Linked DNA regions of Lonchura striata. The protein of the gene in region 3 interacts with the protein of the main gene of each other region in a pairwise test. Links are inferred from orthologs where the notes say so. Each region holds a gene or a part of one and is shown on either strand. Other genes may lie near its edges. The genes, in order: ECPAS, RMDN2, AGTRAP and MCEE.

The links.
Region 1: the proteins of AGTRAP (region 3) and ECPAS interact in binary tests that used the Homo sapiens proteins (3 or more experiments, as listed by UniProt). The two-hybrid records come from large-scale screens. The link is inferred for Lonchura striata from reciprocal best matches to the Homo sapiens genes AGTRAP and ECPAS.
Region 2: the proteins of AGTRAP (region 3) and RMDN2 interact in binary tests that used the Homo sapiens proteins (3 or more experiments, as listed by UniProt). The two-hybrid records come from large-scale screens. The link is inferred for Lonchura striata from reciprocal best matches to the Homo sapiens genes AGTRAP and RMDN2.
Region 4: the proteins of AGTRAP (region 3) and MCEE interact in binary tests that used the Homo sapiens proteins (3 or more experiments, as listed by UniProt). The two-hybrid records come from large-scale screens. The link is inferred for Lonchura striata from reciprocal best matches to the Homo sapiens genes AGTRAP and MCEE.

Annotation. Positions count from the first base shown.
Region 1 is NC_134642.1:61,498,559-61,506,379, reverse strand, and holds the start of ECPAS (proteasome adapter and scaffold protein ECM29), read left to right. Parts: upstream 1-4,536; 5' UTR 4,537-4,800; coding exon 4,801-4,828; intron 4,829-7,821. Other genes in the region: DNAJC25 (dnaJ homolog subfamily C member 25), read right to left, coding at 493-801. UniProt on the Homo sapiens protein: Adapter/scaffolding protein that binds to the 26S proteasome, motor proteins and other compartment specific proteins. May couple the proteasome to different compartments including endosome, endoplasmic reticulum and centrosome.
Region 2 is NC_134605.1:33,517,475-33,525,101, forward strand, and holds the start of RMDN2 (regulator of microtubule dynamics protein 2), read left to right. Parts: upstream 1-4,340; 5' UTR 4,341-4,450; intron 4,451-4,602; exon of another isoform or gene 4,603-4,723; intron 4,724-5,210; 5' UTR 5,211-5,222; coding exon 5,223-5,677; intron 5,678-7,627.
Region 3 is NC_134626.1:5,566,498-5,573,978, reverse strand, and holds the start of AGTRAP (type-1 angiotensin II receptor-associated protein), read left to right. Parts: upstream 1-3,991; 5' UTR 3,992-4,038; coding exon 4,039-4,065; intron 4,066-7,481. UniProt on the Homo sapiens protein: Appears to be a negative regulator of type-1 angiotensin II receptor-mediated signaling by regulating receptor internalization as well as mechanism of receptor desensitization such as phosphorylation.
Region 4 is NC_134613.1:9,525,675-9,533,959, forward strand, and holds the start of MCEE (methylmalonyl-CoA epimerase, mitochondrial), read left to right. Parts: upstream 1-5,099; 5' UTR 5,100-5,131; coding exon 5,132-5,162; intron 5,163-8,285. Other genes in the region: MPHOSPH10 (U3 small nucleolar ribonucleoprotein MPP10), read right to left, coding at 353-494, 774-945, 1,324-1,481, 2,258-2,918, 3,402-3,496. UniProt on the Homo sapiens protein: Methylmalonyl-CoA epimerase involved in propionyl-CoA metabolism.

The DNA.
Region 1 (7,821 bases), on a different chromosome or scaffold from region 3:
GAATTCCTTTCAAACTCCGTCCCCTCTTCTGCCTCGCAAAAAAAAAAAAAAAAAAAAAAAAAAAAAAAAAAAAAAAGAAAGAAAGGAAAAAAAAAGTTCCCTTTCCCTTTTCTAATCCCCTGTAGCCTTAAAACACTTACACGTCTCCTTCTTCCATTCCCGGGTTCCATCTTTGCATCTTTGCCAAGTCACACATGCTTTGCCCTGAGAAGCCTTCCCTTACAGATCCCACATGCTACTCCAGTCACTGCTACTTTTAAAGGCATATCTCCAAGATAAAGCCTAGTCGGTCGGTTATAAATAAATAAATAAGTAAATAAATAAATTTGAAAACAACCCGTTCTAGACACAGAAGGACTTCCAAGCGCACTCCATCCTCCTTCCCGCACTCTCGGGCTGGCTACGGAAGGAGGCATTTCGGGGTGTTTCTCCTCCCCTCCCTGACTGCTTACCCGAGCGGCTCCGGCCGCGGCGGCGGTCCCGCTCTCTCACCTTGAGGGTCTCGTAGGCGGCGGCGATGAGCAGGAACTTCTCGTGCGCCGCCTGCGCCCCGCCGCCCTCGCTGCCCGCGGGCTCCCCGCGGTAGCGGTCGGGGTGGTACTGCCGGGCCAGCTGCCGGTAGGCGCGGGCGATCTCCGCCTTGCTGGCCTGCCGGCTGACTCCCAGCACCTCGTAGCAGACTCGGCGGCCGCAGTAGAGGCGGTCGGTGAGGCCCCGCGCCGGCCGCGGCAGCAGCGCCGCACACAGGCACAGGCAGAGCGCCCAGCGCCCGCCCGGACGCCGCCGCGCCGCCGCCGCCATTGCTCCGCCGGGGCCGGGCCGCGCTCCGCGCCGTGCGCGCGGCCGGCGGCGGGGCCGGCGCGGGAGGGAGGCGGGGCCGCGCGGGGCGGCTCCTCCGGGCCCGGCTCCTCCCGGGCCGGCTCCTCCCGGGCCCGGCTCCTCCGGGCCCGGCTCCTCCCGGGCCGGCTCCTCCCGGGCCCGGCTCCTCCCGGGCCCGGCTCCTCCGGGCCCGGCTCCTCCCGGGCCGGCTCCTCCCGGGCCGGCGCCTCCCGGGCCGGCGCCTCCCGGGCCGGCGCCTCCCGGGCCGGCGCCTCCCGGGCCGGCTCCTCCCGGGCCGGCTCCTCCGGGGCCCGGCTCCTCCCGGGCCCGGCGCCTCCCGGCCCGGCGCCTCCCGGGCCCGGCTCCTCCGGGCCCGGCTCCTCCCGGGCCCGGCGCCTCCCGGGCCCGGCTCCTCCCGGGCCGGCTCCTCCGGGCCCGGCGCCTCCCGGGCCCGGCTCCTCCGGGGCCCGGCTCCTCCGGGCCCGGCTCCTCACGGGCTGCCGCGGCCCCGGCTGCGGCCCCGGCCCCCAGTGCGCCCGTGCGTGGCGCCCGCGCCAGCGGAATCCTGGGATGCATTGGGAAGAGCGCTGCCAGTGGGTCTTTGAGGTGATCCTACCCCCTGCGCTCAGCCCTGGGCAGGCCGCGTCTGATCTGCTGCGGGCAGCTCTGACTCCGCAGCTCAAGAAAAACACGGGGTCCAGAGTAGGCCGCAAAGGTGATTTGGGGTCTGGAGCGTTTTTCTCATGAGGAGAGACTGCAGGAGCTGGGCCTGTTCAGTCTGCAGAAGAGACGGCTGAGAGGGGATTTCATTAATGCTTATAAACATCTCAAAGGCAGATGCCGAGAGGATGGTGCCAGACCTTTCAGTGATTCTCAGCGGTAGCAGGAGGAGTGAAGGCCATAAGCACAAGAAGTCTCACCTCGACACGAGGAACAATTTTACATTGAGAGTGGCAGTGCACTGGGACAGGCTGCTTAGGGAAATCACAAAATCTCCCTTCTGGAGGTGTTCAAAACCCACCTGGACACATTCCTGTGCCATATGCTTTAGGTGACCCTTCTCCTGGCAGGAGGATTGGAGTAGGTGATCTCCAGAGGTCCCTTCCAATCCCAATGATTCTGTGATTCGTCAGGGAAGAAACCTTTAAAGTACTTCCTGAGCCTGTACCTGGTTTAGGCTTGCTCCTGGCAGAGCTCAGGGTCTGACCACCTGTCTTGTAGGGCCCACCATAATTTAACTGGCCCCACTTTGGGAACTGTCCAGTACACTGCCTCCATGGCACGGAATCATAGAGAAAATTCCTCCTGTGGGTGCCCAAAGACATAATTGATAGGTGACCTCATCTATGGCTAGAAGTATACTAAGGGAGGGTGACGAGGTTCCACCTGAACATGAGGAAGAATTTCTTTACTGTGCAGGTGACTGCACACTGGAACAGATTGCCCAAAGAGGTTGTGGAGTCTCCCTCACCCGAGAGATTCAAGAACTGTCTGGATGCAATCCTGTGCCATGTTGTCTAGGATGCCGTGCTTAAGCAGGGAAGTTGGACCAGATATGCTTCCAGCCTGACCCATTCTGTGATTCTGAGTGATTGTGTATGCACAGCTCCCTCAAATAGTGGCCTCGACAGCAGGTCTGCCACCTGTGATATTGCATACCCAGACTTCTCCTGGAAAGGAGGATTACATCTCTGCTCTGGTGTAACCAGCAGGAGCATCATCACCTCAGTGTTTGACATTTCTTAGGAAAGTAGATATGGGCTTGATGCTGCAAATACCACAAAAATGGTCAGCTCATCAGAGCATGTGCTGTTCTTAAAGCTATTATAGCTAGAAATGAGAGTGCCTCCCATGTGGCTGGTCTCCTCCTCCACCTGTCTCCTTTCTGCAATAATAAATGCTTATGATTTACATCAGTTGTGGATGGGTTCCAAATCTGCTTCCTCAAAAAAAAAAAAAGGTCCACCTCTTTACACCTCATTAGAGCCCAGTCTCTCATGACTGGAGGCTGTGAGTCAACTCCTCAGACCATGACCTTAAAAAATTGTGGTGGGTGCCTAGTGCCTACCAAGCTGCTCTATCCATTCCCTTTCTCAGCTGGATGGGAGAGACAGAACAAGATGGAAAACGACTTGTTGGTTGAGATCAGGCAGTTTACTAAAGCAAAAGCAAAAACTTATGCATACACAAGCTAAGAGGAAGGAAGTAATTTTATTCGTTACTTCCCAGCCACAAGCCATGTCTGACCATTTCCTGGGGAGTGGGACTTCAGGATCGTAGAGATTGCTTTGGAATGCAAAAACTGTAAAAAAATGAATGCCCCCCCCCCCCCCCCCGTTCCTCCTTCCTCCCTCTGCTTTTGTATCTGAGCTGACATCATATACCATGGGATAAGGCTTTGGTCAGTTTGGGTCAGCTGGCCTGGTTGTGTCCCCTCCCAGGATCTTGCCCACCCCCAGCCCCCTTGAATTTTGGAGACACAGTGCTGATGCTCAGCAATAGTCAAAGCTGAGCAGCAGCTGGTGTGTTATCAGCACCTTTCCAATTATCAACGCAAAGTGCAGCAAGATGGGGGCTATTGTGGGGGACACGAACTCCAGCTCAGCCAGAAACATTGCACAGATGGAACAAAACCGGTACATGGACGCTTTTGTCGCCTTTTTTTTCCTGACTCGAGAAACAAGCTAGTCCTCTTGACACCTCTCGCTTGAGCTCACGTCTGCCTTGGGACTCCCGTGGAGCTTTAGGGAGCCGTCAGCAGCTGCCCCGTGCCGGCTGCAGGAAGCGGGGAGGGAGGCGCGGGGCGGGCGCCACGCCGTCCGCTCCCCGGCATGCTGCCGGGATGCTCCTTACAGAGATTCCATATGGCATGGCAGAGTTTGGGAAAAAGACGCAGCGTGGCTGTCTCTCTGAGTAACCCCAGAACGGCAGGGGACGAATTCTACGGAGCAGCTCTATCCCTTCGGGAAATGGCTCTGGAAGAGCGGCTCAGCAGCGGCAGCCGGGGGGCGTGTCCATGCCGCTCGGTGGGCGTGTCCATGCCGCTCGGTGGGCGTGGCCATGCCGATCAGTGGGCGTGTCCATGCCACTCGATAGGCGTGGCCATGCTGCTCGGTGGGCGTGGTCCTATCGCTCGGTGGGCGTGACCATGCCACTCGGTGGGCGTGTCCATGCCGCTCGGTGGGCGTGGTCATGCCGCTCGATGGGCGTGACCATGCCACTCGGTGGGCGTGTCCATGCCACTCGGTGGGCGTGTCCATGCCGCTCGGTGGGCGTGTCCATGCCGCTCGGTGGGCGTGGCCATGCCACTCGGTGGGCGTGGCCATGCCGCTCGATGGGCGTGGCCATGCCGCTCGGTGGGCGTGTCCATGCCGTTCGGTGGGCGTGGCCATGCCGTTCGGTGGGCGTGGCCATGCCGTTCGATGGGCGTGGCCATGCCGTTCGGTGGGCGTGGTTATACCGCTCGGTGGGCGTGGTTATACCGCTCGGTGGGCGGGGCCTTCCCGGCTGTGGGCGGGGCTCTCCGCCCTTCCCCTGCCAACGCACCCGCGGCCGCGCGGGGGCGCCCTGCGCCGCTCCCGTCCCGTCCCATTGCATCCCTGCGCCGCCGTGCCGAGCGCCGAGCCGGCGCGGCCGCCATGGAGGTCAGCGCGGACTCCGGTCAGTGCTGCCCCCGTAAACCTCCTCCTCGGGGCCCGCCGGGCGGGGCGGCGGCGGGGCCGGGCCGTGTACGCGACGGGGGCGGGCGGTGGGGACGGCAGGTCTCTCTAAATATAAACTGGCGGTGACAGAAGCTTGCCACCGTCGAGGGGAGCCGCCGGGAGCAGGAGGAGGAGGAGGAAGAGGAGGAGGGGGTGGAAGAGGTGGAGAGGGAGGAGGAGGAGGAGGAGAGACGCGGCCGCCGGCCCGGTGCCGGTGCCGGAGAGGGGCGGGAGGCGCGGTGCGTCTCTCGCCGCCTCCCCTCCCTCCCCAGCCGGCAACATGGCCGCGGCCGCGCAGGACGAGCTCAGTAAGTGCCCGCGGCGCAGGGACTCGCAGCGGGGGCTGGCTGCCGGGCGGGCGGGCGGCCCGGGCTTTCCCCACAGCGGGTCTCCTCCGCGGTGGGGCCCGGTGCCCGGCCCGGCCGGGCGGTGACGGCAGCGGGGCCGGACCGGCCGTGGGAGGCCATTTCGGGAAGCGGAAACCGGGAGCAGCGGTACCTCCCGCATCCCCGGCCCCTCACGCCGGCTGCGTGACCTTGCGGGGAGGCAGCGGAGGCTCCTGGCCGGGACGGAGCCTGGGGTCGCCGGGACCACGGGCGCCGCGGGAGCGGCCTCGCCCACCGCTCCTGAACGGGCACAAGCGGCGCCGCCTCTGCCCGTCGGTACTTGGGCCCTGCGTCGTGCGAGCGCCGTGTCTGAGCCGCGGCGGCGGCGCGGACGCAGCGCAGCTGGCGGTCCCGGGGCGCGCTCTCGCCGCGCCGCGGGCGCGGCGCCGGGCCGCGGGTACGGAGCGCGTCGCGGCCGCCCCTGCGGCGCCCGGCACAGCACCGGAGGTGCCGCTGCCGCCGAGCGTTCCAGATAGCGGAGCGCGGCCTGGCTTCTTGTCCTCTCCAGAACCCTTTCTCAGAGACTCTGGGGAAGCGCCCGATCAGCTGCTCTTTGGATAAGCTTATGGAGTTTCAAAAAAAGCGGTTTCTCTTCCCTTGTTTTTCCTGGCCTGGCGTAAAGATGGTTCTTACCTGTGAAGAGTTAATAGCAAGATAGCATATGACTCAGCCAAATGAGAGGGCCTCTGGTTACCCTGAAATAGTACTTGGCAGTCGTCAGAGAGAAAGGGCAAAAGAAATACTTTGAGCATATTTGAGTACTGTTAGCTTTCAGTACTAGAGAATTTCTATGTGCTGGTTCTTCATTTGTTGTTTATTTTTCCATTGTTGGTTTTTTGGGGTTTTTAATTTTTTTTTTTTTTTTTATTGTGAGCTTCTGTGTAGACAACATCCTAATGCTGCTCTTTGTTACTAGAAGTAGGCTGAGTGATATGATAATGGTGGGGATCTCCCGTATGTAGCCAAGGTCCCATGGTGGAGTAAAGAAAAATCTTGATCCTGTACTAATCCTAGAACTGGAGGACCGAAATGCCAAGATATTTTTTCCATTGACACCTGGGATAAATTGATGTAAGGACAGTTCAAGCTCTTACTGCTGCTGTCATCCAAGAGATTCTGTTGTTAGATTCACAATGCTATTGTGATTCTCCTTGGTGAAACCAGCCAATATCTTCCTTGTGACTCTGTGGCTTTTATCTGTATGTAATCTAACTTTCCAGGCTCCAGATCTGATTTTGCAAAAAATTAGTCCTCAGCCGTGTGCCTGTTGCTACACAGGACTTTCTCTTAAGCTGGACTAGAAAGACACATATCCCTAGACTACGAGTCACATTAATAATTACGTTATTTTGCTCAGGTTATTTGACCATGACGTTCTTCAAAAATGAGACAGTTTTATTGGTTTGCTTAGAAATATTTTCTTTGGGTGGGAGGAGGAATCTCTTTTTGGAAATTTCGTTTTGTTTAATTTGGGTTTTTTGTGGTACCTCTCTGTCACTGAATAGAAAGTACAGTATGCTTAAATAAAAAATTAATTAAAGCTAATGGAAAAAAGAGTAACTTAATGTAGAGAAAGAGAGAGGGAAACTAAGCCTCCGTGTGGGCTTGCTGTCTTGATACATTCAAATACTTACATTTCAGCATATTTGGAAAGAAAGCCTTTATTTTATAGGATGATGATTGATGCTCCTACCTCTCTCATCTGATCAGAGTCACAGGGGTCTCTGGAAATGGGGAAGAGCACAGCCGGAGTGCACTGTAACAGATGACTAGTCCTGGAATAACAAAAATAATTACCATTAGTTCTAGGTTGGAAAACCAGGTTTCCTTGCTTTATATTCATGTAGCATTGTAAATGCCTGTAGGAAGCTTTCATCTATAGCCCCTGTCAAACATGGAAACTCTGTCTAAATGCTGTGTAAATGATGCTCCTCGTTTTAGAGGACAGGTTGTTTGAAGGCAGCATAAGATATGGCAGTTTAAAAATTAATGCAAAATTAGTAACTTGGCCCTAAAGCCACAAGAGTTTAGATGCAAGAGGAGCAAGCTACTCTTGAGTAATAGTAGTCATCCATTCAAATGGAGAACCTGTACCTGGAATATTGCAAATTGCAGCATGGGTTCTGATGTACTATTCAAGCTTTTACATAAGCTTTTTTATAAAGAGAAAGAATATAATGGGAAAAAAACCCATAATATAGCCTTCCTCCAACAGGCTTTCCTAGCCTTTTCCAGGCAGATTGACTGCTTGGTGAGTGGCCTGTTTGTACAAGTGCTCCCTTAAGTCTTTTGGTTATAGGCATAAAAGGGGTTACTGGTAGAGACAAGAATAGCACCAGCAAATCCTGACTCACTGTTTGCTGCTATAATCATACTAGTTATATTTTTTCCCAGAGTCTAATAACATTTGAACAAGAATTTGACTCCTATTTTGGTAGTTGCACAGCAGATGAGAGCTTTATTCTTCTGCATGTGGAATAATGCAGAAGCAATTGCTCAATTGCTTAGTTATGGAGAGACACAAGGGCGTGATAGACTTTTTGCTTTAGTAGGAACCTGCCCCTAAAACTACTCCTGTCATCCAAAAGGTCAAATTGAAATGCTTTTTGTACTCTTTATTTGATATAGGGCCATTTGGAGAAAATGCGGAGAGATGCTTGTGCATGTTCAGGTAATAGAGCAGGGTCTCAGAGGTTTTCGTCTGATTTACTGAAACTGTTGTAGAAATGATTTATTTTGTAACAGTTCCACCAATCTGTCAAACTATCAAGTTCTCAGGAAACTGAAAATAAATTCTGACTTCATGCATAGATCTGCTCTGTTCTGCAGACAACTTAGACGCTGCTTTTAGTTCCTCAGATGTTTGTGGTTAACAGTCAAACAAAGTACAGCTAGTTTGACATGTCCTAGCCCCA
Region 2 (7,627 bases), on a different chromosome or scaffold from region 3:
CTATTTTGACCCGGGCACTCCAAGGATAATTTCTTCTTTGTGAAAAAATCAGGCAGTGCTGTCCAACTACATCGGATGTAGCCTTGCTTATTTTTTCCTATAGTTGTCAACACAACATATGCAAACTCTTTTGGGCTGCCAACTCTCATGTCTTACATCAAGGAAACTGAATCATTTACCTTGGCCTAAAACAATTAACAGAGCTTGTATAAATATATTTTGATAATGTCCTTGAGATTCCTGAAGACACAAAGAAGCAGGAACAGTACGTACTTTTTTTTTTTTTTGCTGTTTGAAAAGCTGTGCCGTCAGTGACCATTTGTACTTAACTGAAATTGCAGCACTGGATCCTATCAATCCTATCAGTAAATAAATAAACAGATGATTGTGAGTGCAGTAGAACTGATGAATTCAGGTTTCCTATCAGGTTATAACTTGCAGTTTTGTTTGTTCACATCTGATAAAATGTGAGCTCTGCTTTAGCTTTTCCGGTCCTTGCAAAATGCTTTTCTCCTGTGTGGATTCTTAGTTTTACATCAAAGGATAAGTAATCTTCCCCAATGCAGTGACTCTAATTCAGAGATTTCTTCTTTAAAAGATCAACTAACTCAACAAAATTTGTTAGAGTTTCTCTGTTGAATTTGACTGAGGCTGGCCAAAGATTCAAAAACACTGGGGAGGAGGGAGAGTTATGGTTATATTTGCATGCATTGAGACATAAAGGCAGTCAGCCTCATCTCCCCAGGGAACTGTGCTAAGCAGTACATCTTTATTTCAAGAAAACAGAAAAGATCAGTGTACTCTTACCCATCTCCTTTTAACTTCAATTTATTAATTTTTCATTAGGGGCACTGGACAACTGTTCAGACCAAAAGCAGCAGAAAGTCTGACAGTGAGTGCTTCCCTTTGAGGTAAGATATAACTTTATTTTTGTAGCAAAAAATTCAGAAGAATTTAACCAAACTTGACAGAACAGTGATTTCTGACTGTTCTGGCATCCAGAAAGGATTTCTGGCAGGTTGGTTGAAAGTCTGGTCAAAGGTATTTAAGCTTTTACAATGTTTGGTGACATATTAACAATATTTGACTTTACACCTACAAGACAACTGCTGAAGTAATAAGAACGAACTGCTACTAGCTCATTAAAGGCTTCTGTATCTGTTACAAGCAGTAGATTAATCTCTGGGGGGTGGGGGAGGGAGGGACATTTCAGAAAGAACAGCCTATTATGAAAGAAAATGCAAAGAAGAATTACAGCTAAAGAAATTTATGAAAATTGTAAAACACAAATGCCTTCCATACAGAAGTGAAACCACCAGTAGATTATGCTCACTTTGTTTGGAAACAGCATGCATCAATTACTTACATTGTGTAAGTTATGTACACATTATGTAATGGCTCTCTGATCCATTGAACACAATCACTCAATAATGTGCTAACTTTTCTAATATGGCACAAAAATGTTGTCTAAGTTCAAATTTTCCCAAAAGACCAGTAAACTGCCTGTCCTGGTTTTACAAAAATAGTGCTGTAAGAAGGCTGGTGCCCTATGTAGGTGTGTCAGTGTTGCAGCATTGGTGTGCTAAGTTCATTCCTTTGCATCTGGCTGGGGCCGGGGTGCTAGCCTCCTTGAAACTACTTGGAGTGGCCTTTCAATACTTCAAAAAGTCTACAAAAAAAGAGGGAAAGTGGCTTTTTACTTGGGCAAATAATGATAGGACAAGTAGGTTTAGATTAAAGAAGAGAGATTTAGATTAGATGCTAAGAAGCAATTCTTTACTCAGAGGGTGGTGAGGCACTGGGACAAGCTGCCCAGAGAAGCTGTGGATGCCCCATCCCTGGAAGTGTCCAAGGCCATGTTGGATGCAGCCTGAACAACCTGTTCTAGTGAAAGGCGTCCCTGCCCATCACAGGACAGTTGGAATTTGATGATCATGAACATGCCTTCCAACCCCAACAACTCTATGATTCTACAATTCCATGATCTTGACATATTCTGTCACAATTGGCTGAAATTAAGCTCCATGTTCAGGAGCTACTGGGTGGAGAAAGTGTCATGGTACAGCTTGTGAGAAGGACAACACACGGACAACCTGAGGACATAAACTTTGTGTTCTTAGGAAATAAGGCTGAAAATACACTAAAAATATTTGGGGCTAACCATTTTATAACAGATGGTTGTCTGGACTTGTTTTTTAGGACTTCAGGTACAAAGTTGCTTTTGAACTAGGAAAAATTCATATGCAGAAGAATAGTGCTTTTCTAAAAGCATTTATTTCAGTTTTTTTAGAACATATGTCATATTTAGGCCAATTGAATTATGTCAAATCTAGATAAATTGATGTTTAGTTCTCCAGCTTGGAAAGCTGCTGTGTTTCAGCAAGTTTCTACATATAATCAATAACTTTTTGGGATCAGACAGGTGACCTGATTTTCACAGTTGATACATATCCAGGCAGCTGTAGATGGTAGTTCTCCTGAGACATTATTTTTTGAAAACAGTTCTCCTTGTCTAAGGCCTGCAGCCCAAGACAGTTGCTTTGGAAAATCTTCAAAAATACTCACTTAGCTTTTTGCATCCATAGTATTTTGTTTCAGCTCTGTGCTATGCTTGCCCTCCAGTTAATACTCTTTTCAAAATACTTTCCTGTTTTAATTGGCTTATAGAAAGATTTTGGCAGAATAAACTGAAAAAATATGAAAATAAAAATTAAAGGTTTTCCAACACATCTAGATTACCATTCCTGAACACTTGAAGCACTATCAGCATATGGAGATTCATGTTTTCTTGTTCAATTTTAAAACACTGAGAGATTGTGTATCTTAAAACCATTACTTATAGTGAAATTTGTTAAAATAATTGAGTTTAGTGAAGTTTCCATAAAATTAAAGAGATTTCCATCCTTTGTTTAAAAATTTCTAATTACAAACAGATTATACATTTTGTTATTATTATATTGTAACTGGGAAACCTGCAAAATACTGAAACAGTACTCACTTTTTCATTCTAACAAATTTCTACCTTTGTCTCAGATTGTAGTTTGGTCTCATAAGGGTAATTTAATCCTCGGGATCTTAATGAAGAATTAGTTTAGAGCTGTAGTTGGTTTAAACAATTCTTTGATGATAAATAGACATTACACTGATTTACAATTGCTAATTTGTACTAAGACTGAAAAATCTTCTGTTCTTGGTACCTGTTTTAGGTACCTGTTTTTGTCTTGAACAGCACTCTGCTCACTTTTTAAAGGCAATTAGTATGTTTTTTAAGAATTGTGTTTCTTTGTTTCTGATTGATATGGTTGAGGACAATTTCAGCTGCTAAAAAGCTTCTTCCATTGCACAGACACAGTGGTTTCCATGATGGTTGCCTTAAGCCCTCACACAGAAGAACATGAGTTTTATGCCTGTAAATTCTGGTAGGATGTTGTGCAGAGGCTCTCCACAAGCCTTCAGGAAGATGAATGGTCAGAGCAGGTTGTCCGTGGTGATCCTTCTTCCATCCAAGGCCAGAAACAGGAGCCAGATCCTTTTGTCATAAAGGGCAAAGCAGAGTCTTGTGATAGTCACCAATAAAAGTGATCTCAGATGGGGCACAGGAGCAATACCCCCCACACTCTGATAAATCCAAGTTCTGCCCCTCTACTCTGCTCTGGTGAGATTCCACCTGCAGTGCTGCATCCACCTCTGGGGTCCCCAACACAGGACACTGATCTGTTGGAATGAGTCCAGATGAGGAAAACCAGGTTAAACCGAGGGATGGAGCACCTCTCCTATGAAAAAATGCTGAGAGAACTGGGATTGTTCAGCCTGGAAAAGAGAAGGCTTTGTTGTGAGCTAATTGTGGCCTTCCAGCACCTGAAGGGAACTTTGAGGAAAGATGGGGCAATACCATTTACAAGAACATGGAGTGACATGATAAGGGAAAGTGGGTTCAGATTGAAGAATAAATTTAGATTATGCATTAGTATAAAATTCTTTACTGTGAGGATGGTGAGGCACTGGGACAGATTGCCCAGGGAAGCTGAGGGTGCCCCAAGCCTGAAAGTGTTTATGGCCAAGTTGGATGGGACTTTGAGCAACCTGATCTAGTTGCTCTAGCAGGAAGGTCTCCCTGCTCATGGCAGGAGGGCTGGAACTAGATGACCTTTAAGGTTCCCTTCCACCCTAATCCATTATATGGTTCTATGGTAAGTTCCTCCAGACTTCGGGCAATCTGTAATGCACTGGTGAAATCAGTTTTGGGCCCTTAGATGCCTTAAATTGCAATGAAGCTTTCGTGCCGGGACTGCCCGTCTTCCTGACAACGGGGCGGGGTTTCTCCGTGATTTTACAGCTTCAGGTCTCCACCAATGCAGTGGAAACACAATTTCTCTGTGGCCTAGAAGTAGCAAAAGGTTATATCGGTGAAATCGAGCGGCCACCAGACTGAGGACAGACACACGAACAGGTACACTTGCTCTAGAACGGCGTATTTCGAGTCAGGTCCGTGGCAGGTGCAGCCAGCCCGCCGGGACTCCCAGCGATGCGGGGACCCCTCCTGCGGCGGGCAGCGCGCGGCAGCCGGGCGGCGCGGCCCAGGCCCGGCCCCCTCGATCCGGGTATCGCCACTCCGGGGCGGCTCCGCCGCCGCCCCCTGTGCCACGGCGGGAGAGCTGCGGGCTCTTGGGCCGGACGCGCTGCTGCTCCCGGCTTGCCCCGGCCCGGCGCGGCCCGGCCATACGTACGTACCGGGGGCGGCGCTGGGCCCGGGGCCGGCGCTGCCGGGGCGGCTGGGGCCGGGTCCGGGGCTGGGGCGGCTGCGGGGCTGGGGCAGGAGCCGGAGCCGAACGCGGGGCTCTGGCAGCCTCTCGATGGGCAGGGGCTGGGGGACCGGCGTGACGCCCCTCCGGCCTGACAGCTGGGTTTCCGCCTCTGCAGTGGCGGAAAATCCGATTATATGAGTTTCTCGCATTAAAACAAACAAATCCCTGGATGCTGGGACGGTTAAGAGTGAAGGCTGCAGTCCTGCCCACGTGCCAGCGCCCCTTACACCCCCAAACCCACTTTGGGCTTGTTTTTGCTGCCTAGCGTTGCAGAACCTGCAAAAAGTGTAACTTTGTGTCTGCAGTTCTTCTGCCTTATGCTTTCCTGATTTCAGAGTGGAGTAAATCTCTTGTGTAGAGCAGGGGGAAGCATCTTAAACTGTTGTTGTTTTCTTATAATTCTAGGAGTGTGCAGAAATGTCTCCCTTCGAAAATAAAGGACTAATACTGGGCATAATGGCAGGGACTGCTGGATTAAGCCTGGTGCTCGTTTGGTACCACAAGAACCGAAAACCTGCTGCAGCTGTGTGTGTTCGTGCGTTCCAGGATATAGGTAACAGAATTAATTCTGTGGGCTTGCCAAATGAGGCTCCTAATGAGCAAGGAGCAGTAATGGTTTTACATGGAAGGCAGCTGCAGATACTGGAAAAATTGAATGGGCTGCTACTAAGCGTGGATGAACTGAAGAGAGAGGTGGAATGTCTGAAAGAAGCTATTCCAAAACTTGAAGAACTTGTTCGAAATGAGCTTCAAGGAAAGGGTGGTGTTCAGAGAGTTAGCCCATCACACAGAGCAACAAGGCGGAGAAAAGCAGAGACAACTGCTAGTACAAGAGAAACTACCAGCTCTGAGGAGGCAGAAAGTGAAGGAGGGTGAGTTAATAATAACTTGTATATTCTACTGTACACGTGCAGTACAAGTTGCATCATTACCTATGTGAAACTGTAAACAGGAGCCCTTTAAACGTTTGTTTCAGATTTTATACTTCTGGAAAAGTAAATACAAATGCTCAGATTAAGGGTTTTTAGATCAGTGAAGACTCTTGGTGGCCATCTCTGAGTCTGCACTATGGCTGAAGTTGGTTTAATGCCAGGCATAATACAGATTTTTTTTTTTGAGAGTGTGTTTGGTAACACTGATGCAGTATTGCTACATAGCTATGCAATGAGAGGCAAAGTTCAGAATAATGGTGTAATTTTAAAAGTTCTCCTAGTGTGTCTTTAACAGAGTTAGTTCAAACTGTACAAATGCTCATGTGCTTTTCCTGATAATTGTTTTTTATCAGCCTCACGGATGAGTTATTACAGTGTTCTGCCTAGAAGCATTGCATACTGTGGAAGCTACATCTGCGCAGAACCTCTGTAGAAGTGGCAATGCTTATGTATATGTGCATACACTTTCTGGTGGCTCAAAAAATGACCATGAGGAATTTAGGGTACTGACTCAGTCCGGTAGAAAGTTCCTAGTTTTGATCACATTTTGTAGTTAATGGGGTCTTTTAGTCTCATGAGTTGAGGAACACGCTGGGGGATGATATGTACCAGGAGTCCAGGAGAGGCACTATATTTTTGTCTTGACATTAGTCTCCTGTAATTACAACTTTGTTTTGGTATAATCAGATTAGATACTTACATGCAATTTACTAATACTATGTTTATAGCAACTGAGTGTTTTGAGCTATTTCTCAGAGTGTCTTACACGTCTGTGTAGGCAGCATTATGTCTGTAAATTGCCCATCTTATGTCACCTTTTCTCTTTAAAAATACTTTAACTAACTGTAATATTCTAAAGACAGCTAAGATGTTGCATATTAATGGAATGCTATATTTAAGTTTTTCCACGTTCATTTTCAGTTCCTGCGAGCAGAATTTCTTTTTGTGTTACATCCCAGCCCACATGGTTCACAAGACTTATATTGTGATACCATATTTTAAGACCTGTCAGTTCTATTATGAACCAGTTCTTTATTTTAGGTATTCAGGATTGGCATAAGTATTCAATGACATTCCTCCTTCATCTGGTGTGGGACCATCCTGGTTCTTTTAGTTTCTTAGAGTATTTCATCCACTGGTTAGTTTACAGAGGCCTTCATGTTACAAATAAAATATTCAGAGATGCAGATCAGTTTATGAATTACTAAGTCCACAGATGCAATGCAGGGGTTATTCCCTGTGTAGCATTTGAGAAAATGCTGTTTTCTGATCAGGAGTGATATGTTGCTCTTTGAAAAGAAGACAAGGAAACTTGTGTGCTCAGGTTCTTCTGTGTGACAAAGAAGCTGATGCGGTGAGCCAATACAAGTGATTACAGTGTGCAAGAACATTGAATGTGTCCTTAAGAGAGGCCTTCTCTGACAACTATTTGTGTACAGTCAGATGCAAGGAAAATAATTCAAGGTTACAGTTAGCATTAGTCATTTGGCTATGTTCTTTCCCAATGCTGTTTTTCAATCCCTTATGAAAAGAGGTGGGCTTTTTTCCTATTAACACCTTGCACTTGATGTGTTTGTTTTTCATATCTTTTTTAAATGTGAGATAATTTATTTTCATTTAAGTAAATAGTGGTTTTTTTTCGTACTCTTGCAAATAGGTTGTTAATCCTAATGTGTACAATTGCAATATATATATGTATATATATATATATATATTTTTTTTTTTTTTTTTCCGAGGTCTTCTGTAACTTTAATGACTGGTGCATGGCCAGGAGGGTCAGCAGCAACACTTGGGTTTTTTCCAGTTACTCTACATCACTACTTCATATGCTGTAGGCATTACACCATATGCATTGTTTTATACTCTTCTGTGGCTCATTCCACACAATGG
Region 3 (7,481 bases):
AAGGGAGTTTGTAGAGCCGGGCAACTTCTATATGTCCTTCCTCACTACTTATTCAGAAAGGCTCTGTGGCTAATATATATATGTATTTGTGCTGAGCTGGTGCCTTCACTGCTCTCAACTCCATAGCCAGGGGCAAAACTTAGAGATGCTGGTGTCAGCTGCAGTCTTTAGTTGTCTTCAGACTAAACCCCTAGAGAGGGGGAGAAGGGCAGAACTATGAGAGGGGAGCTTGTCTCCACCTCCAAGGGCCAGATAAGGACAGCAGAAGCAATTTTATTAACTCTATGGAATTAACCTATGGAATTGCTATCATCTTACACACCAAGGGTACAGTGTCCTGAAAATGCAAAGGAAAGCATTTCTGCTTTATTAGCTCACTTTTATTGCTATCAGTGTGGAGATCCAGCTGTGTATTAGGCTTTTACTCAGTCTGCACAAGGCAAACCAAAATATTTTAAAAAACAACAGCTTTTGCATAAAGCAGATAATTGCTGGGCATTGGTTGCAGTGAGCTGAAATCACCTGGAGCAGTCTTCTAGTCACAAAAATCTGTTTATCCAGTCTCCTGGGTAACCTGCTTCTCCCTGCAGCCCTTCTTTAACTTACTGCTTATCTTCCTCACCATGTTGTGTTTCTTCATTAAACCTGGGGAAGGGAAGAGAGACAGTGGTTACACAGAGAGGCAAATTACAAGGTACACCAGCACAATGTAGAAATAAAAAACAAGCAACCCCCAGATCACACAGGTGTGACAGACATACAAATGCATAATGTCAGTCACAGCTCTCATTGCTTTCATATCCATGAGATAATTCCTAAATCCCTTGAGTCCCTGACATGCAAGCCCAGGATATAATAAGCAGGGATGAATTAACTGCATGATACACTGATGAACAAAATGAAATCAAGTGCTTTTATTGTACAAGGGGAAATGCTTTGCATTGAACAGTGGACACATCAATTCAAATTATGGCTCACGCTGCATAAATGATAATGAGACTCTGTCTCAGGCTGAGTGAGAAAGCTGAAGGGAGCAAAGACGCCCACATGATGCTACATCCTATCAGTGCTTATCATTCAACTGGGACAGCAGAATTTATGTTCCTAACAAACAGCTCTCCTTTGAAAGATACCTGTCTGGGCAGAAGGGCATCCTAGTGCACTTCGCACACAGCACTGAGCCAGCAGTGTGCCTATTCAGGCTCTTTAGCTTTTCCCCCATCCCAAGTGTCACATATTTTTGTCATTTATGTTGAAATCCAGTCATTCCTTGGCATTACTGGAACCACTAGCATTGATGTTATTTGATACCACCACTTCTGTAGATAAAGACAGGACTTCCCTGCAAGACCCAGTAATGTGTCCATGCAAGACATAATAATGGAAGTGAAGGCACAGCTCATGTGTCATGAGGAAATAGGAGTTATATTTCAATCTTTCATTTGAAAGTGACATATTCAGAGATTCCTGAGGGGACTTTCACAGCCTTTTTGGGTTTTTTACTTTTGTTCTTAGCTATGCAGCCAGTTAGTTTTATCCTCTATGCTTCCTAGCATTTTCTAGGTAATTTCATTTTGGCATTTAATGCTTTGCCTTGGGAAATCTTGAAGTGTGCTGCTTGAAGCAGTCAATAGCACTCAGGACACGGTCAAGGACAGGCTGGATAGCACTACATTTGTGGCTTGTTTGAGAATGTCTGATGGTAGGTTCAGCACTGCACAATTCTCACTGCTTGAACTGGAAATGAGACTGAAGGATGACACATGCATTTCCACATCCAACTTCTGCAATGAACCTCTGACCCAGCTAATTTCTCAGAGGCCCCATCTTTTCTTTAAGAAGGAATAATGACAAGAAAGGAACTAACCTAATAAGACATCACAGCCTTACACTGCAGACAGCACACATTAGGCAAGGATAGGAGGGTTTGAGAAATGTCATCCTGACCTCTGGGTTCTGTTACTTCATTTGCTAGACTTGGGGAGAAGGCTGCTGGTATGAACTACACAGGAAATGGTAAATTACAGCTGAACTGTGTGGGGTTGAATTGGTCACTTAGCAACTTCTCTAGCTCTAAAATGAAACCAGATTTCTTTAGGAATAAGAAATGAAGAACTTGTTATTTGCACCAGGATTTTAGGCAAAGGATACAGTCATTGAGTTCTAGGGGAAAAATCCAGGGCCAAGGGAATCAACTGTGTACCTGCCAGCCATCCTAGCTACTGCCTCAACACCTAAGACTGACCTTAACTTGACTTAGCTGTTGGGTGACGTAGCTGAGCACAGTTAGCACCTCAAAATAACCTTTTTGTTGGTGTCTATCAACAGTTTCTTTGCAACTCCTTAAATTTTGGTCAGACCACTGATATATGCACAAGAACTCTTCCTGCAGAAAGCTGCTAAGTCCTTTGCACACAGCTTTCCCAGACACTGATTACAACCAAAGTATAATGTCCAACCTTGTCTCACTACATTGCATGTGCAAATAGAAGGAAGAGTTTGGCTGCCTTTTTGCAGCCAACAAACTGATCTGTGCACACTTTAGCTGGGTGTTTGCAACCAAGAAACTTATATATGCATATTTTTAACTTGATGGTGGCTTTTGAAACAAATTCACAGAATTGTTAGGGTTGTCAAGTATCCAATATTAGATATTTCATACAAGGAATGGCGCAAATTATGTTTACTACACATAAAAGAGGCATTATCAAGATAATTCTGTTATGCATTATTATAATTTGCGCTAATGAAATATTGTTGTATTGAATCAAGGGAAATATGATTTGGCACGTGTAATATTTAGTTATTACAAACTACACACACCAGCACTGTGAGCTGCCCCCCCACACATATTCGGTTACACCAGAGCCGGGTTTTGTTGGACAATGCCTCATTTACAATCTTATACATGTGGCCGGTCTGGAGATGGGCTGGAACACCTGGGAGCTGATCAATACCAAAGGACCTGGGAGCTGATCAGTCCCAAAGGACCTGGGAGCTGAATAATACCAAAGGACCTGGGAGCTGAATAATACCAAAGGACCTGGGAGCTGATCAGTCCCAAAGGACCTGGGAGCTGATCAATCCCAAAGGACCTGGGAGCTGATCATCCTGGTAACAATCCAAGATTGGGATCACTGGAGTCCTCCGGGCTGATACATCTGAACGCCAGGAAAATCAGGAAAAATCGTCCACACCTGGACCTGGATTGTTCAACCCCGGCTCGGAGAAAAGAACTTTATGAATATGTGGGACTCTGAATAGAAAGAAAAGGCTGAAATCCTGGCCTCGGGCGGAAAATTTCCTGTAAGAACTGCAGGGCCCAGGAGTGTGGTCTGTGTGTGTCCAGGGGAACCTCTGCCAGAGGCTCCTTCCTGTCATGCACCCAGCGCCGAACCCGGGCTCGGCACTGTCCTTTTCCTTGTGGCTGGCTCAGAGAGAATTCAATCCTGAATAAATATTTTATTATTTCACTTTTAATTTGGCTGGACTAATTTGCATTTATAACAGTTCATATCAAGCAAGCAGAGCACCCGGGCTGCCTGTCCTGACGGGACACGCCTAAGCAGCCGCCCCTCAGCGAGCTCCGACAAGGGCCTGTTCTGGGCCCGGGAAGAATTCGATCCTAAATAAACATTTTATTATTTCACTTTTAATTTGGCTGGACTAATTTGCGTTTATAACAGTTCATATCAAGCAGGCAGAGCACCTGTGCTGTCTGCCCTGACGGGACACGCCTAAGCAGCCGCCCCTCAGCGAGCTCCGACAAGGGCCTGTTCTGGGCCCGGGAAGAATTCGATCCTAAATAAACATTTTATTATTTCACTTTTAATTTGGCTGGACTAATTTGCGTTTATAACAGTTCACACCAGGCAGGCAGAGCACCCTGGACACGCCTAGCTCAGCGAGCTCTGCAAGGGCCCAGCACCGCCGGCAGCGCCCGACGCGGCCGGGCCGGGCGGGGCCGGGGGCGGTGTCCCGGCTCCCCCCGCCCCTGAGCCCGGCCCTGCCGCACCGAGCGGCCCCGGGGCCGCTGCCATGGAGCTGCCGGCCGTCAGCCTCAAGGTAGGGCTTGCCCTGCCCCGGGGCCGGGGAGCGGGGCCGGGGGGCTCCTGGGGCGGGTGGAGCCGCGGGCACTCCGGGCAGCCCTCCCCGTATCCTTTCCTCTCGCACGTTCTCCAGCCGAATGTCTGCTCCACGTCCTGGCTGAGGCCCTGCTCGGAGCTGCGGGGCTCTCCGAGGAGGAAAACCTGAAGTTTTCCTCCTTTTTCCTAAGGAGAAGAAACTGAAGTTTTCCTCCTTTTTCCTAAGAAGGAAAAACTGAAGTTTCTACTTTTTTTTTTTTATCACATGCGCAAAGGGTGCAGAAGTTCTGAACGCCAGGAATCCGAGTCGCGGGGAGGGTTAGGTTGGCTATCAGGAAAACCTTTTCCCCAGAGGGTGATAAGGCACTGAACAGGCTCCGCAGGGTCACAGCATCAAGCCTGCCCGAGCTCAAGGAGCATTTGGACAATGAGCTCAAGCACAGGCTGGAGTTCTTGGGGTGTCTTGTGCAGTGCAAAGAGTTGGTGATCCTGATGGGTCCCTTCCAACTCAGTGTATTTTATGATTCTTAGTTAAACCCACCAGGTGATGACTCCAAAGTTTGACCCTACTTCAGAGATATTGCTGAAGTGGCTAAGGACTGTGCAGAGACAACAGCTGGCTATTAACTAGTGTCCATGGAGGTTTCCAGCTCAGCTGACCAGAACTAAGGCAAGATAAACACTGCACTCCTCAATCCTGAGGAGACAAAGTTTTGCTTGTCAGACAAAGTATCTTAGAAAAATAAGTTCACTTACTTGGGGCTTATCATCTGAGACATAACTGCAGTTGCTTCTCTGCTGGGGAGGGCAGGCTCCACTTGTGGGCACTTCGGAAATTTCAATGAATATCTGATAACCAGGGAAAGGAGATATAAGAGACTTAACCAGTAACATAACATTTTTCACTTTTGGAAGAAGCACTTGGTGACAAGCCAGTGGATGTTAAAATCACACTTTGCTTTTGATGTCGATATTTGATTCTGATGTCTTCTGTGCTACCAGATACGTTATATTTTTCTCTTTTTTCTTTCACATTTTCAGAACTCTGAGATTTCTAGATGTTTCTGTCCTTTCCCAGCTTTGCTACTTTGTGATTTCATTTAATGCAGAATGGTTCAGGTGCTTTCTTTGGTTAAAGCTTTGCCCAGAGACTGAAAGCATCACAGATCACATCAGGGCTTTTTTTGCTGGTGATTCGTTAAGCTGTGAGCAGTGGCCTCGGACCAGGTTGCCTATGGGTTGGAAGAGAGAATAGAATTATCTCAGCTACCATTATTAATTCAGCTTTGTACAGGACAGCTTTCATGTGGCTGTATTAAAGAAAAGATTGCTGTTCATATAATGATGAATACCCCTCTTACTAGTTCACCAAGAAAAGCAACTTCCCTTGTTAGAGGCAAGTAAGCAAATGGATTTTTCAAGGCCCAGCTTGTGGATTATATTACATTCTGGAAACTAGCTGATACTTTGCTCTGACAAGTTTGGACTACTGTGTAGTTCCCAGGGCACTAGGAAGATTAAAAGATCTTGCCTTCTGCTTTGTTTTTTAACTTGGTTTGATTATTTTTTTTTTCCACGCTAAAACAACAGTGAAAACTAAGGACATTTTAATTAAAAATTTTGCCAACACGAAATACATGTTCTCCATGAGAAATGAAGATAGGGGAGCTGAAAAACACTGACTTTTCAATGAATGAGCCACAAAGACAACAAAACTAAAATGTTGCTTTTCTTCTCTTGTTCAGACAACTGTTTTCCCAGTCTCTTGCTAGATAAGTGTGAGTTTGTCCTGGGCAAACTGTTTTCAGCATTAAGAAATTCTTGGTTGTGAAGTCTGCCACTTCTGCTCTGAGCTGCAAAGACAGGAATTGGGAGTTAATAGTTGTGCCTGCACTTCATTCTGTACCTGAGTTAGGGCCTGATTCCCTGTAAAATACCACAAAGGTGGGGAAGATTCTTACTCAGAAGAGTAAGTAACACACACTGCTGCTATTCATTGGCATGATCTGCTTACAGGTTCTGTGAGATTATGAAGATGAGTCTTGTGATAGAGATAGTTCAAAGAAAGCTGCATGACTGAGCTGTGCCTGTGCCAGAATGTAGCAGTATCTTAGCCTTGGGGTCTCTCTTTAAGCTCCTTGCAGAGCTGTAAAATTAAGGTAGGCTTTGCCCTGGAGTGGGTGGGGAACATGCTCATTGAACAGGATCTACTGGCTTGGTTTTAACAGCCATGCTCAGCAAAACGGGGGAAGCAGCACAGCCATACTTTTGCCATGACAGCCATGATTATTGAAATAATCATGCAGAGCCTTGAAATACAACGTTTGATCAAGGCTGGACAATGCCCTACAATCCATGTGCCTGGAAACACGTATTTTGTGCTTAGGCATTTTTTAATGCTAAGTCACCGAGTCAAGGAATAATAGAGATGTCTGTATGCCATGTGATTAAACCTCCTACTCAAAGCAAGGCAAACTGCAAAGTTAGATCAAATAGCTCAACTCAAAAATCAGCTGAGTTTTAAAATAAGAACAGAGCCATGTCAGCCCCATTGTATAGTCTGTCCCACTGCTTAAGCACTCTCATTATTATCACTCTGTTATAATAATGAGGAGCATATTCACAGGTGGCCACTCAGATTAATATTTTGGTTTTGTGTGTTCTCAGGTGAATGCCGTAGAGTAGGCGAGCTCACTCTAAAATAGAAATTTAGATAAAACCAAGAAAATAACTTTAATTTGGAACTGTTTCATTTTTAACTTCTTCAAAATTCAGTCTTGTGCTAAGCTCTGTGCTGAAGCATGTTTAAAAGAGTTCCTGTTCCAAAGAGCTTCCCATCTAATGAGACCCTGGCAGACACTGGCTCTTTTTATGCTTGGCAATTAGTTCCATCACATGCTGGGATTTGCAAAGGAGGTAGGAATTCTCCTTAGCTCTCCCCAGTTTCCAATGGGATGCTTTTAATTACATAGCCATCCTTTTTCCCAGAGGAGATGGAGACAAAAGACCCACCTTTCTTATTTTCTGCTCTCACCACTAGTTCATCAATAACTTCAGAGTTATTTTCTCAAAAGAAGAAATGTATGTCTGTCTTATCTACAGACTTAAGTCCTTGGATAGATGGAAAAATTTTAAATTCTTCTGCTGTTTTATTAGAAGAGTGCCTGCAAATTAACTGGTCTCACATAGTAGCTTGTAGTTTTTCATTAACACCATATTTTCTGTGTTAAAGCATACCAACACCACCAGCCATTTCATAGACTGCTGAAGAACTGTCAGGTAAATTGGACTAATAACTAAAAAGGGAATATCTTGGTTTTATTTCAGCAGCCATTCATAGTATAAGCCCTAGTATACCTGACTTTATGCTGATGACTAAACATACCTCATAATTTA
Region 4 (8,285 bases), on a different chromosome or scaffold from region 3:
TAAACTACACAAAAAGAAAGTAAAACCTTCACAAAAATGTAGCAATTGAAGGTGAAGTAAATAAATATAAGTAAAAGTAAGTCACATTACATAAGGCTGCTAAATTATTAGGTCTGCTACCAAAGTTACGAACTTTCAGGTAAATTAAAAACTAACAAAAAGAAATTATAGTTTTCTGTAGTTTCTACTGTGAAAATGCAGGGTGAAACAACCTCAAAATCAAATCAAAAAGTTTAACCTGGTCTCCTGTTACCCTGCTCTTGAATCACAGGTGTTTTCAGCAAGGTGAAAGGGCAGAATACCCAGCATGGTCTGGCACATGCTGTGAGCAAAGCCCTGTCCCTCTCCTTACCCATTCGGACTGCGTGGTCAAAAAGCACCGTTTCTTCCAAAAGGCTGTTCTCAGGGCGTTTCTGTCCAGTCACTTCTCCTTTCAGCTGCCAAGGTTTCTCCTCTAACAATGCTTCTTCCAAGCTTTTTATTTTTTTGCTCATCTGGAAAACACAATTTCCTACAAAGTTTAAAACAGAGCTCACTCGTAAACTTGCAGCAAGAAATTAATATTTATTTCAGGTACATGAGGGAATATATGATTGCAGATGTATCTATGTAGATAAACCACATGTCTTCCTTAAATTTTAAATACCTTCTTTTTATTTGCTGGATTCTGAACAAATGAAACAACCAGTAAAACAAAAGTTATTTGCCACTGTTTTGAAGTATTAGCCAAATAAAATATGAACAAAACTCAAAGAAAACCAAACCAAAATTACCTTTTCCTGTCTCTTCTCAAATGATGACTTTATTTCACTGGGACTGATGCCCTTCTCTAATTGCCCTTCAGCTACATCTTCTGTTTCACTGTCATCTGGCAAATTGAAAGTTACTTTTTTAGAAGCTTCTTTATTTCTCATGTGCTCCACCATTTCATCCATATCCTCAAACCTGTAACAACAACATTTAATATAAAAGTTGAGAAGCCTTTTTAATTTTTCACATTAAAGTATTTCAGCCTTTAGATGTTTACTTGCTACAAGTAACTTACAGTTTACAACAGGTTTCAGGGATCCCCCTAAAGGCAGAGGACACTAGGGAAACTTCTGGATAATAAAAATAACTTTGAACAACTCTTAAATGCTTTATTCAAATAAAGTTCAAGGGACAATATTTTAAAAAATTAAGTAAGCTGACAACATAAACCATGAACATACAACAGTTAACTGAGAATGGCACAGTGTGACCAGAGTGAGGGTGGAATTCTCAGTATTTTCTGCTTTACTTCTGTGTAAAATTATGAGAACATTTTACCTGCATTTTACTTACTCAGACATACTTCCTTCATTTTGCTCTTCCATGGCACTGTCTGCTTCCTCTTCCTGATCCTCTTCAGCATCATTAGCTACTAAATCATCATCACCATCATCATCATCAACTGGATCAAAGAAATCTTTGTATGTCATATCTCTTGAACTTTTTATTGGCTAAAAAGGTGAGAGGGAAAAAAAACCCAAACAACAAACCACAGCTGTTAAGACTGACAGAAATCAAAGAGCATCTTGTCTTTTAAAGTCTTTAGTGCCTGGGGAACAGCACTTCTTGTGCAACAGTAATTTAGGGTAGTGCAACAATAATTCAGGGTAGTGATGCCTTAACCTGTGGTAGAGGATCATAGTAAAACTGATTTCTTTTCCTGGTATTTTCAGTTCTCTACCACTTACACATACAGAAGTCAAGGAACTGTACATTTTGCCAAATACTTGCTAGAATGCACACCGATTCCCTGGGTCTATTTCTTACTTGCTTGTGAGAATGTCTGGTAATACTGAATAATAATATACTTATTTTAGAATCAATTATTCATCAATTTAAGTTGTATCACAGTCACAAGGCATGTCCCTGGAAAAAACCCTTTGCTCTGCACCAGCCACCTCAGTGATCCCTAATTGCCAGATGCTGATCTTTTCATTTGCTGGGTCCCCTATTCTGCAATTCTTCAAGGCCTCTGATTTCCTGTGGGTATTATCTCTTCCTTTATTCATGTAAAAGCCCAAGGCCCATGTAAGGAGAGTCTGGAATAGCAGGATCCTATGTCCTTCTACACCAGGAAATTTTCTTACCAGATATTAATTGTTAAAGTAAAGCTTCAGAAGTAATCATTAATTACATAAACAAATGTAACTTGGCAGTTTCTACAGAGTTAAACATTTTATGGTCATCCTAACAGATACCAGATTTTGATTTGAAGGAAAAAACTCACTTTGACTTTAGCTTCTTCTAAGTCTTCATCATCATCTGAGAAAATGTCTTCAAAATAATTAATGTCATCTTCTTCTTCTTCTTTTTCCTTGTCTTCCTTCTCTGCATGTTCTAAAAAAGCTTCCATCTCAGCTAGCTTGAAAAACTTGTCATCCACTACAGATTTTCTTCCCTTCTTTCTCAGTGTGGTTTCCTTGGCTGTTTTAGCTTGTTGCTCCAGTGCTTCAATATCAAAGTCAATATCAGAATCCTCATCACTGTATTTCTGCATTACACTTTCTCTGAGTTTACTTTGCTTTTCTTTAGCTTTAGTTTTATCTTTTTCTTTATCTTTTGTATACACATTCATCTGTTCAGTTTCTGCTTCCATTATGCTGTCTTCCAACTCCTTGTCACTGCTGGTCTCTGCATCAGAGCCATCCTCTTCCTGGTCTGAGAGAAGGCAAAGATCTTCATCCTCGGCATCCCTTGCAATGGATTTCTTGAAGAAATCGAGAACTGCATTGTTCTGGAGCTCTAGTTGCTGCCAAATCTGTTCTTCATCAAACTTTTCTATCACCAGCTCTTTTAGAGGACCCCCACGAACTATGTTACTTCCTTTATTCAAATCGTAGAGAGTCTTTGTCATCGCTCTGAAGTCGGCAGCCAGCCCATCCTGCACACTGAGAGCAGAAAAATAAAAAAGCTTAACACTTTCCACTAAGTCAATCACACGGCTGCTCTTGTTGTACCTGCTTTGGTTCTCTGGTGCTGCAGAACAGCACCTTTCAATAGCTACTGCTGCGGCTTAACTTTCCATACATCGCTTGGAGTACTGCTACTACGCAGTCACAGAAAAAAAAATCACAAAATTATTAATCCTTTCAGTTTCATTACACTTCGTGTAGGAAGTAGCAGCTGGACAGAAAATCCCAGCTTTCTACAGCTGCATCTTACAATATGTTGATCTTATTTAAGCACTCCAGACATTTTGGGCAAGTAAACAGTACAGCACTAAACACCTCAATCGTCCAAGAGCCAGAACCCAGGTTTGAAAGATGTAACTGCGCTTCTCCACCGCCCCACTCCTCAACTGTTACACCTGGCTGGGTGTAAAAGGTTTTCCTCTAGGGCTACCAATGCCTCCCCCCGCCGCCCCGCGGTACCTGAGGAAGCACTCGGGGCGCGCCGCCGCCGCTCCCGCCACCCTGAGGCACGTCTGGATGCCCTGGAGCCCCGGGAGCCGCGGCACCGCCGCCATCGCCCCGCGCGCACGTGGGGCCCGCCCCGCCTCCGCCGCGCCCCGCGCTCAGGCCCGGCCGGCTCCGCGGCCGCCGCCAGGGTTCCGCGCACAGCGGAACTCTGCCCCGCCCCGCTTCCGAGCCGTGCCATCCCCGCCCCCTGAACCAGGCATCCCCGCCCCCTGGCCCAGCCCTCCGTTAGAAGCGCCTCGTTCTCCCAGAACCCCCAGCACAGTATGGCAGTCGTGCGTGGTGGCTGCTGGTTGCCGCCCTGGGAAGGGCGCGGTGTTGCTGCAGACTGGGATTTGCATCAGCACTGGGAAACCTGCTCTAAATATAGTGAAGGTACATTCATCTCACTTCACGGTTTTGAATCTCTGACCTAGATGCAAGGGCTGTTTTAGAACTGCACATTTCCAGCTGATTCTGCCGGTAAAACACCTGATCTTACCTGGTGTCTACAAGTTCAGGCTAACGATGTGCACACACACACACACCTTTCACCATCCACACAGCACTGCCCAGTGCTCTGCAAGTCCCCTCTTACATCATGTAGTTTCTTAAGGTTTATTTTGTAAAGTAAAATTAAGCCCTACACCCACAGACCCTTGTGTTTCCAGCCACCCACACAGCCTTCTGCAACTTGATCCAAAACTGTGACTACTAACCTTTTAACTTCAATACTTCTCCTGCCTCTGCCGCTTTCATGTTTCTTTCCTACCAACATATAAAGCCTTTTCAGTGCAAAGAATGCCCTGCAATGTCACAAATTAAGATTTGAAGTGGCACAAGCTGTTTATCTACTTAGGCTGTATCTCAGCTAGTTGCAGTGTGCTATGCCTGACACAGCAAGACTGCAGCATCAGCAGACAGCCTGCTCACTGTCCTGAGTCTCTCTGGCACAATGCTTCACGGCATCCCCGTCTGTATCAGGAAGAGCGCGGCCAGCAGGACCAGGGAAGTGATTGTTCCCCTGTATTCTGCACTGGTAAGGCCACCCGTGAGTTCTGGACCTCTCAGCTCAGGAAGGACATTGTGAGATGCTGGAGCAAGTCCAGAGAATGGCAACAAAGCTGGAAAAGTCAGATGAGGAGTGGCTGAGGGAGCTGGGGGGCCTGAGCCTGGAGAAAAGGAGGCTTGGGGTGACCTTATTGCCCCCTATAACTTCCTACACCAGGAGGGTCCAGCCAGACACCCTCCTGGTGTCACTTGTCCTGGCAACAGGACAAGAGGACATGGTCTCAAGCTGCACCAGGGGACAGGTTGGACATCAGAAGAAATTTTTTTTCTCAGAAGGGGTGATTAGATACTTGAATGCACTGCCTAGGGAGGTGGTGGAGTTACCTAGGGAGGTCTGGATGTGGCACTTAGAGCTCTGGTTTAGATGACATGTTCAGTAATAGGTTGGACTCGATGATCTCGGTCGTCTTGTCCAACCTAACTGATTCTGTGGGATTTGCTCAGAAAACTTCCTCGGCAAATGCCGCTTCCTACCGCAGCGCTCTTCGGCACGCTGTCTCCGAGGCCCGGGCAGCGCCGGCCCGGCCCCCGCGAGGCTCCAATGGCGCGGCGCGGCGGGCCCGGCCCCCGGCGAGGCTCGGCGCTGCCGCGCGGAGGGCGCCGGGGGCGGCGCCGCCGCGGCCGAGCGGGCGGAGATGGCGGCGGCGCTGCGGCGCGGAGCGGCCGGTAACGCGGGGCGGCGAGCGGGGCGGCGGGAAGGAGGGGCGGCGGGCGCGGGGCTCGGGGTGCGCTCCGGCCTGGCGGATCTCCCCGGGAGAGCTCCGCAGGCCGAACGAAGCTGCCGCTTCTGCAATAAAAACAAGTTCTCCCGATCCAGCTGACGGGCGCATTAACCACTGACATTAGCTGCGTAGGGTAAACTTAGAGAGCAAACGCCAAGCCTAAAGTGCAAGGAGGAACTTGTCTTTTTGATGTGTGGTTTGGAGGTAAAATTCAAAATAATTTGCCGTTTATGGTAATAACCTGTACTGTTCACTCTGGTAGGGTAGGTTTAACTCACAATACCTAAAACATTTTACTTGGTAGCCCCAGACCAGGAGAAAAGTGAATGAGAGGCTCAATGCTGTCAGTGATCGATCAGTAGGATACTGGGAATGAAAACACCTTCGTATGATTGCACTTTGAAGGAAGGAACAAAAGCCACAGCACACTGAGACTCAGTTCCCTTGAGCTGTGGAGCCCATGTAATTCCCAAAAGCCCCATCCAGCACAGCAGAGCAGTACTGTGAGCCCAGTTAGTCTCCAGAGTTCCCAGGATGCTCACACCACCTTGAAATTGCTGGAATTTAAGAATGACCATACTATGCCCTTTTCTCCATTTGGCCCAGAGAGTGAACACACAGCCCCTATGTGCCAGATTGGTAACAGCATCCTCTCCATGCTTTGGGAGTTTGTCACCACCTGAAAAGAGTGACGATAAAGCAGTGCCCATGACAAGGTTCTTGCTGCAACCCACTGTTGTAAAACCTTCCCATAGAGAACGTGACTGAATTCAGTTTGGTTTGGCTTGTATTTGATTCCTTAGTTTCCTTGATTAGGTCAATGAGCACTAATCCACATCAGAAGCAAAAAACGAGGCTACGAATAAACATTTGAACTTGTTACTTTATAATCTGCTCGGTTGAAGAATGTAGCCCTTACTTGGTACAACTGTATATTTAAACTCTGATGTGCATACTACAAGTAAATGAGTCAATCATCAATAGAATGATCCCCAAATAGATAAATTTAAAAATATTCTTCAAATGAAGCTGAAGAAAGTTATATACTATAGAACTAGTTTTGTGATGCATATATAAATACAAGTGTTTCTTTCCTGGAAACGTGGAGATGATGGGGTTTCAATCTGAAGTTTGCTGAAAAGCTTTCTTTTTCACTGCAGGGCCATTTTTGATTATTGGGTTAGAAGAAGATTAGAATTTTAAGTAATCTATATAGTTACTGATCTAGATAATGTAAGAAAAACAAACGCTTTTTGTTTAACCTCAGTCAATTAAATTATGGATTTAAAATTAACACTCTATGCATCTGACTAGAGCTAGGACTTCATAAAATAAGCGCTTATATGAGTGAGTATTTAAGTATCTTTGACTTTACAAGAATCCTAGGAATATACTTCACTTTTTCAGTCTATTGTCTTCCCAGGAAACAGCACAAGAAATCAAATATTTCTGGGGCAGAACCCATAAGAAAGAGCATTTTCTATTATTTTTTCTAGTGCTTCACAAATAGCTGAGTAACAAACAGTCAGTGTCTTTGTCTATTTACTTGAAATAGAAAAAAAAACAAATTAAATTACAATAACTGTGTGGTCATATGTGCCCTGTGTAAAGTGCAACAAGAACTACAGATGTCAGATGTAAAATAATGGAAAAATCCTTGCCTTCCCATTAGTAAAGACTGCTTGAAAAAATATCTACATTAGTAGTATTTCTGTTGAACTGCAGTCTGTTAATATTTGGAAGAAAAAATAAAACAGTAAAAGGCTCTGGAACACATAATAAATTATATAGTAAGGGATCCTTCTCTTTCAAAGGATTTTTCTTATTTAGAGAATACTGCCTTCCTCCAAGTGGAAAAATATCTCTTGCTTCAGCAAGAATGTCTTAAGAAATTACAGTACAAAATGGAGCTACTTCAGTAGAAGCTTAGGTGGGCAGGAAAGACTGTATAGCAGATATTGGGGGGTTGTTAGTTTTGTAACACATTTATTTACTCTGGTTAATTGTCAAGCCCTATACTAGTTAATTAGCCATGCCTTTAATCATGCACCTTATGCATTTGAGGCACTGCACAGTGCTGCTCCCTCACAGAATAACATGATTCACCCTGATTCAGCTGCATTGACATGGCAAGTGTTTCCACAAAATAGTTTATGCACAGACATTTGAAAAACAATTTTTTTTTCATGTGGAAATTTCAAAGGGATTTTTTTTAACATGTAAGAAGTTGAAAAGCAGTTGCTGTCCTATACCAGTATGATAGCCTAAAGGTACTAAGTGAAAGAATTGTCCAGAGCTTCTGGCTGTGATGAAGGAGATGATAGGATGGACTGTGTGAAAACCTGGCAAGAAATACTGCAGGGCAGTTACTTGCAGCACTGGAAAAGTTTCTGTAAATACTTAATGTAGGATGTTGATTTATTATCACAAAAAATTGTGAATAGACTTATTTTTGTGATAGAGTCCTCGCTAATATGCACATTGCATGTTGGAATTTTAAGTGTCAAATACATGCAAAGATTTCTTCCTCCATCCCAGCACCATGCTCAGAAAGACTTAGGTTTAAGGATTTATCAGTGTTTGAAGAAAAATTAACTGATAGCCGTAAATCTTGAATTCCTGTGGAATGGTAGCTCTCAGTTCCATACTGTGAAGCAAAGCTGATTTAATTAATTACAGCTATTACTGACCTTACAGAGCACCAAGAGCCCAGACAGGCTATCTATCCTCAGTGTGTTGCAATGCATCCAGAATCTCAGTGCATCACTGGCACAATCTCTTAGCGAAATAGCACATTTGTGACTTTAACGGAAAGAACACCTCAAAGACTCCCAAAAGGATAAGATGCCTCTAGCTTGGCCTTGAGGCATTGGGAGCTCTGACTTGGCCTAAAGCAAACTGGCATGGAATTATAATGTAGCTTTTATGAATATGTCTTTTAATCTAATTCTAATTTTGGTTCTAGAAACAGCTGATACTATAAAAATTTCTCCCCACCCCCAGTCCCTCTAGATTTTGGTACTGACAGATTGATTTTTAAGGTAATTAATTTGCAAGTACCCTCATT